Xenopus tropicalis: one gene and its partner. The protein of the gene in region 2 interacts with the protein of the main gene of each other region in a biochemical or structural test. Links are inferred from orthologs where the notes say so. Each region holds a gene or a part of one and is shown on either strand. Other genes may lie near its edges.

Region 1 (4,096 bases), on a different chromosome or scaffold from region 2:
GTTGCTCTTCACTAACATCATCTGTCTCTTTTTATGCAGTCAGGGGACAGATTTTGACTGATAGGTAGGTCTAATACAGCCTTGGGGGTGGCTCCCATTCCTAGCAGATGTATTAGAGCCAACGCTTAAATAGCTGACCCCAGCACAAACAAAATCTAAAATAACCGACTCTGGCATACATCCTTCATGTAGAGAGACCTTTAAATCAAATTCTGACTCTTGCATGAAGAGAGACGGATACTGAGAAGGGGATAATGAAGTGTCCCCTGATTATTTCAGAAACAGGTCAGAAGTTTTAACTGATTATATTTAGAAAGTTTCTTATTTCTGTGAGATGAAGCTTATATTAAAATTTCATTTTTGCTATAGTTCCCCATTAACTAATCACTACAAGGGATTAGATATTTCTATTACTGGAATTCAATAAATGACTTACCTTTTTCACTTCTGTGTGATAAAGAATGTGGCTTTGTGGCATTTAATGTATATGCTGGCTGGTTATTTATAAATGTTTTTTGGATACTTGTTGACCCAGTGTCCTGCGTGTAAGCCTGTGATGCAAGGATGTCAATCTCCTCCAGGTCGTCAGCTGTAAAATCTTCATTGTCATCAAAAGGGTCGTCCATGGCCTTGTAGTCAACATTTGCTGCTCTGTGACGCTTTGGAGGAGGATACCTGCTTCTGTCATAGCTGGTGCTCTGGGCACCTTGTGGAATACTGAGAGAGGAGCCGACTTGTGCACACGCTGTGTTGTACAATATGGAGCTTTCCCTTTTCTTATTAGCAAACAAGGGGTTAACAGACATAATGCACCAATAAAAGGTCCTGTGATTGAAGAAAAAAAGCAATATTAGAGAAGAGAACATGTGAACCACAACCGGTACCAGTCTTGTTTTGCGAGTCATTTTTATTAAAGAACAGGAAAAGCGTATTTTGCTGGGGGGTGCCAAGATATTAGGCACCATCAGTGAAATAGATTGCTAAATTTATTTCCTAGGCTGGTGCTCCTATAAAAGGAAAACTGCACCAGCCTGTGGAAAAACCTCCCTAAGCACTGCACCAGCATTTTACTTACCTTCCTACTGGCATCCCAGAGGTCCCAGGCATCCAGTGGACCTCTGGGATGCCAGTAGAAAGGTAAGTGTACAAGTCAGCTCTGGCGCTTAGGTATCTTTTCCAGGACCTAGATTAGCAATCTATTACACTGGGGGGAGCCTAAAATTTTGACATGTTTTTGTATGAAGTGTAGGGGAAGGGGCCTGAAACATGTTGTGTATGGTGTAGCAATAAAAGCACTTTTTGCAGCATTATTGTGCTTTTTTGTGCTTGCCTCTACATTCTTTCTTGGATTGATATTAGCAGAGAGTGCGGCTCTATTGTTTGGCGGTAGATGCATAAAGTCTTGAAGGTTGAGCACAGGGGACCTATCTACTTGATCATTGCCTAAAGGTGCCCATACACTATAAGATCCGCTCGCTTGGCGATGTCGCCAAGCGAGTGGATCTTCACCCGATATCCCCACCTACGGGTGGGCGATATCGGGTAGCAAGTAACTTTAAAAAAAAATAATCCTTTGGCCCCAGGGCCAAACGATTGGATTACATTTGTGGTTATGGGGCAGTCGGTTCGGGGACCGCATCATGAGCCGATGCGGTCCCCGATCCGACTGGATTTTCTAACCTGGCCGATCGAGATCTGGCCAGTTTCAGGCCAGATATCGGTCGGCCAGGCCGCTCTGTTCTGCCCATACACAGGCCAATTAGCTGCTGAATCGGTCCAAGGGACCGATATCGGCAGCTATAGTCGGCCCGTGTATGGGGACCTTTACACAGACAGCACTTGAATTAAAGCGCAGTCTACCTTTCGGGGCATTTTTTTTTTGCACTTTGCACACTGTGTGGGACATTGTACATGAGGCCCATTGTCATGCAGCCCCACCATCCCCTTGCTGCACTGTGAAGTTATGATTTCTGGTACCTGAAGTCTGTGCATCACTTATTACAGAAACCAGAGGGACATCATATCCCAGAATATATCACGTCACAATGCAAGGTTATGGAGGGGTTGCATTAAACTGGGACATGGAACTGGTCCCATGGAGCAAAGAGATACACCATCATCTTCATTTTTATCTGTAATTTAGTAAGGTTGCCTTTTCAGGGAAAAATAGCAGCCTTCCCACATTTGTATCTTTCATCCCTCCCTATTACTAACATTGGCATCAAGCATTACTTTTACTAGCAATATAGCACCAGGTGTAGCACCACAGTGTGGCCCCCGGCCCTTCACGACAGGCACAGTGTGGCCCCCAGCCCTTCACAACAGGCACAGTGTGGCCCCCGGCCCTTCACAACAGGCACAGTGTGGCACTGCAACAGGCACTGCATTTCATAAGAAGCTAATGGGGCCTGCTGCTTTCTCACAACAGGCACAATGTGTCCCCCAGCACTTCATGATAAGCCAGGTAGGGCCCCCAGGGTTCCATGACAGGTACAGTGCAGCCTCCCCGCATTGCATGACAGGAACACTTTGCCCCTAACATTTCATGGCACACAGTTCCCCACCTGCCTGAGATTGCATGACAGGCACAGGTAACCCACCAGCATTCAAGTATCCAGCTTTGTTTTACCCTGGCAACGTGAGCCCCTGTACCTGCTGAGCGCTCCGTGTTTAGGCTGCCAGGCTCCCCCTCTTTATAATGCCGAGCGCTTACAGAAAGCAGCGACAATCTTCCCAGCGCCGCTCCGCTCTCAGGCTGTGCCTAGTTCCTCATGGTGCGCAGGTGACGTCACGAACACATGAGCGTCAGGGGGACGCCCCCAACACGTGACATTCGGCGCCTTCTTCAAATGGCTCTATACACACATATACACACACACACATATATATATATATATCGGTACGTACGGGAGTGCGGGCCTCAGTGGTACAGTATTGGGTTGCGCTGGGTAGCACTTTGTGTTTGCCCCCTTTGTTGGGATAGGATTAGATGTAGGAGTTTATTCAGATCTTGCCTTTATACTGGGGCACTTGCGGTTCAGTGGTGACTGCGGATCTGTTACACATTTGCTGGTCTGTGTAAAGGGGGTTATTGGAGCCTGCTTATATATGGGGTGTTTTGTTAAGAGTGCAGATGAGTTTTGAGGTGTGTGTTTGTGTTGACTTTAGTGTTGACTTTTTTTGTGATATTTTCAGGTTAAGTGAGGTGTATGTGCTGCATATGTTGAGGTATGGGGAAGAGTTTGAGTGTGCTGATGTTTTTGCTGTGTTGGATAATTATGGGGGTGCATAAGTATTTAGATGTCCTAGTGTGGGAGGCACAGTGTGTGGTGAGATTAGACTGCCTAGGGTTATGGTTCTGGTGGGCATTTGACTCTAGAGCAGGGGTGCCCAGACTTTTTCCCCCGGCGATCTACTTTGCTCCTCCCCACGTATGTACGTATGTATGCAACACGGCGTGCGCATACCCAATAAACGCGCTGCACTTCCGCATTTCCCGGCTTAGACGCGGCCCTCCAGAAATCCACGGGGGATCGACTGGTGGACCGCGATCAACGTTTTGGCCACACCTGCTCTAGAGCAATATGTAGGGAAACTGACATATCTATCTGAGTGGGTATAGGCAGCAGGTGAGGTCTTTAGTTATGGATGGAGGGGGGTTGGAGGTGTGTAAGTAAAGCATTATTTATGATTCATAGTTGTGTGTATGCCTTGCAGTGTTTGTATACCTGACTGTGGGAAAGTGAGGCAGCATGTGTCACCCCCAGGTATGCTTCTGTCTTTGGGGGTCAGGTTAGGGCAGGGGGGGGCGATAGACCTTTCGTATCTCAGGAATGGGGGATAGGTTGGGTCAGTCTGTGTGTGCCTCCAAGGTATGTGTTTTATTGTGGGTACAATGTTTTAACCCTTTACCTGCCTAGCACGTGGGTACTACATACTGGCAGAAAAATGCTTGTGTCATGCTTCGCATTAAAGGGCTTCCTCGCTGCACTAGTGGCTTTTGCCAGCATGCAGTGAGTCAGATGGGCCCACAACCCCCTAGGCAACGAGCCATGGGAGCATCCATGTCGGTCCTTTGATGCGTTTATAGCACAGG
Region 2 (3,500 bases):
ACTAACCTGATAGAAAAGGATTTAGAATTATTTCTAAGGGTGACAGATTCCCTATCAGGGTTTAGATGGAACATTAAGGATTCACATGAATTGGAATTCTGCAAAAAATGCTTAGCATTTGGCCTAATCTGGAAGAGATTTCTGGATTCAGTGCATTACTAATAAGGTTGCTTGGAGAAAGGAAGCAGAAAAAACATATACTGTACCTTAGTTATGAGGTAACCTGCCCATGTTGCTGACCAGTCTGCAAAGTTATTGCCTAATTTGCTCAGATAAATGGGCTTTTTCACTCTGGACCAGTTTACAGCCTTTTTGGAACTCTTGTATCTATTACGTACAAGGCAAATAAAAGACCAGTAATGAAACTGTATGATTTGAGACATAAACAAGCAAAACTAGATATGTGCTATATGTTTTATATATATATATATATATATATATATATTTCTGCAGCACACATAACATTTATTGTAAGTCTGCAACCTATGAATGAGTTTCATTTACAAAAATAAAGATAAAGATAGAAAACAGCACAAACTACCACAGAACTATTGTGTACTATCATATAGACACTTGAGTTTAAGTAAACCTGTCACCTCAGAACAATTAGTTTGAATTAGAAGAAATAAGAGAAAAATGTGTGAACCATATTGGCAGCAAAGCAATCCTATCATGAAAACCTTAGGTCCCAGTGATTACTTATACCTGTATCTATTTAATGCACCCTAGGTTATTGCTTGACACTGATGACTGGATGCTTCTGAGATTCACAAAATTATCAACGTACAACTAATGAGAGGATTAAACAGAAGACTGAAGTAAAACACAAATAGTGTCAGGGTTAGTGAGCAGCCCACAGAATAGATTATATTGATTCATACCTGGTGTTAAGATGTGGCTCCAATATTTCTTGAACATGTTCTGGGAATCTCTTCCAGAGCCTACGCCCAGGACAATCAGTCCTTCCTTCTTTGCACTCATAAATAGAGAGAAGCTCCTAAAATTACACATTAAGTTTGTCATATAAATATTTGAAACATACAAGTCCAGTGCACTTGCATATACAGAATTGGGCTTACATGTCACTCTTGAGCCAAAACAATTTATAGTCATAACAGTGGTTCATGTATTTATGTAATTTATAAGGCTTTTGGTGATGTGTTTAACTTTCAGGTATATATTTGAGACAGTGGAGCATCATGGGAACATCGATCTTGATATAAATTGTGCTTATTTTTTTCTGTTCCTTTAAGACTTTTCCTTACCTGTATGGCGTAAGCAGCAGAGTCCTGGGCACGGACATTATCAGCATAGGCAAGAAATGCTCTTGTTAACTCTGTGAGCAGTTCATAGGCAAAATCTGAATCCTCAACTCCTGACTAATAATGGAGAGCAAAAAAAATTAAAGACATCGAAAAAATGGGCTAAACATTTTTCAGTTACACGTATGCCATTCTTCATCAATATAACTAATCAGAGCATATTTACTGTTTTTTTTATTTTGACTATTTTTTTTTCAAAAATGATGAAGCATTATACTTACAACAAAAGTAAAGCCCCTTGTCCCTTGTGTTTCACTGGCTGAGAAATCCAATCGCCCTGGATCTATGGCTCCAAGTTGGCCAAGGCATTCACCACAAAATAGACGGGCTTGTGGATTGGCATCTTGGCAGCCAATTAACAGCACTGTTACCAGCTGTGAGATAACTGGTTCGACAGTTTCACTGTCTGTTGAATACTGCAGCAGTTTAGCCTACAATGATGCAAACAATCACATTAAACACAGTCACATAGTAATAAATTATAAAATATGAGAACCAGAAACCACTGGGAAATGTTTGGTATCTACAAGAGGGTTCTCAAGGTTTTGCTAAGTATAAACATAAATACATGCTTATATAGTATTATTATGAATATGTAGCACCATATAACTGAGGGGATGATGTATGATGCTTGTACATTTGTCAAAGAAACCTCACAGATGGAGCACTGAACTGCGCACAACATATTACAGTTAAAGACTCTCTGCTCCTGAGACCACAGCAGTTACAGGTTCACATACAAACAGTAGCATAACTTGGTTTGCGCTAGGCCCCCCTGCATAAAAACCATCTGAGGGGGGCTTGGGGTGAACTGTCCCCTCCTCCTGGGCTGCTCACAGTGCACGTCCTGGTAGTAAGTGGTCCAGGGACAGGGGATTAAACACAGCAGACCTTGTTGGTCCAGCCCCCCGCGACTGCAGAGTCTCCTGTAGAGATAGTTACACCACTGCATACAGAAAGCACAAAAAGGCTGATGTTCTGCAAAGTCTTTACACCTGGTTCTTGTAGAGTGTCTCTTTCAGACTAGTAAGGGCATGCATGCGAACATCTACATTTTCATGCTGGATGGCTCTTATGGACAGTTGCATGGCCGTCTGCAAATCTGTGCTTTTGGTGGTTTCCTAGAGAGAAAAATAAAAAAACTGGTAACGTATGTTTCTTGGTAATGGGCAATAATATATTGAAGCCAAACGCAGCACAATATGGTGGCTTACTTTCCTGTATTCTTGCAGAACCTTCTGAATTTCTTTCAATTCTGGATGATCAGGTAGAAAATAAATTTCATGAAGGAAATCCTGAACAGCAACCCTGTATAATGCATAAACTATGTCAATATATTTCTCTTCTTTTTTGGAGTGGCCTTAAAGTGATACAAACACTAAAAACTATTCTTCAAGTTACCTATAGGTCTTGTTGATCATTTTTTGTAGATACTTTTGGTTACTTACGGGGATACTGTCACGATTTTTATGGTATATATTTTATTTCTAAATTACACTGTTTACATTTTAAATAATTTACTTTGCAATTTAAATTTGTATTCTTTTAGTTGTAGTATTGTTGTGAAGGTGCCAGCACTAAAGGATAAAGCTACTTTCAGACACGCTATTGTTTCTCCTGCTTAATGTACTTTCAATACGACCGAAGTCACATAATAGCTAAAGAGTATCTCCTGCTTGGGTGCTATTATCATGTCTACCACAAGGTGAAGCTAGTGAGTGCACTTAGCAGTGCAAACGTTTTGTGAATTCATTCTGAACTCTCGAACAAGCTAAAACGGTTGAGGAGAGCGCCTCATACGTATGCAAATAAGTCATAACAGGATTCTGGGAAGAAATTCCTTAAGGCTCCTAGAAAAGACCCATTTACATGGGCTTGTCCCATTTACATGGGTTTATCCTATAGGCTAAAGCTCACCCACTGGGTTTAAAGCAGAAACCAGGATAATAGCTGATCAGATTCCCAACTACAGACCGGTTTCGCCCTTCTTGGGGCTCATCAGTGTAGTGCAGGGTTTTCTGATCAGCTTAGGTAGAGCCAGGAGTGGGGATTCACGAACAAGCTGAAAGGATTGAGGAGACTGCCTCATACGTATGCAAATAAGTCATAACAGGATTCTGGGAAGAAAAGTCCCATTTACATGGGTTTATCCTATAGGCTAAAGCTCACCCACTGGGT

The links.
Region 1: the proteins of atr (region 2) and atrip form a complex in vitro, tested with the Homo sapiens proteins (4 studies listed by BioGRID and IntAct, with this or other methods). The link is inferred for Xenopus tropicalis from reciprocal best matches to the Homo sapiens genes ATR and ATRIP.

The regions. Positions count from the first base shown.
Region 1 is NC_030680.2:123,905,907-123,910,002, forward strand, and holds the start of atrip (ATR-interacting protein), read right to left. Parts: upstream 2,801-4,096; 5' UTR 2,653-2,800; intron 2,626-2,652; exon of another isoform or gene 2,601-2,625; intron 2,590-2,600; exon of another isoform or gene 2,565-2,589; intron 826-2,564; 5' UTR 807-825; coding exon of another isoform or gene 627-806; coding exon 437-626; intron 1-436. UniProt on the Homo sapiens protein: Required for checkpoint signaling after DNA damage. Required for ATR expression, possibly by stabilizing the protein.
Region 2 is NC_030681.2:119,633,067-119,636,566, forward strand, and holds part of atr (serine/threonine-protein kinase ATR), read right to left. Parts: intron 2,631-3,500; coding exon 2,537-2,630; intron 2,444-2,536; coding exon 2,318-2,443; intron 1,754-2,317; coding exon 1,544-1,753; intron 1,380-1,543; coding exon 1,266-1,379; intron 998-1,265; coding exon 882-997; intron 328-881; coding exon 207-327; intron 1-206. UniProt on the Homo sapiens protein: Serine/threonine protein kinase which activates checkpoint signaling upon genotoxic stresses such as ionizing radiation (IR), ultraviolet light (UV), or DNA replication stalling, thereby acting as a DNA damage sensor.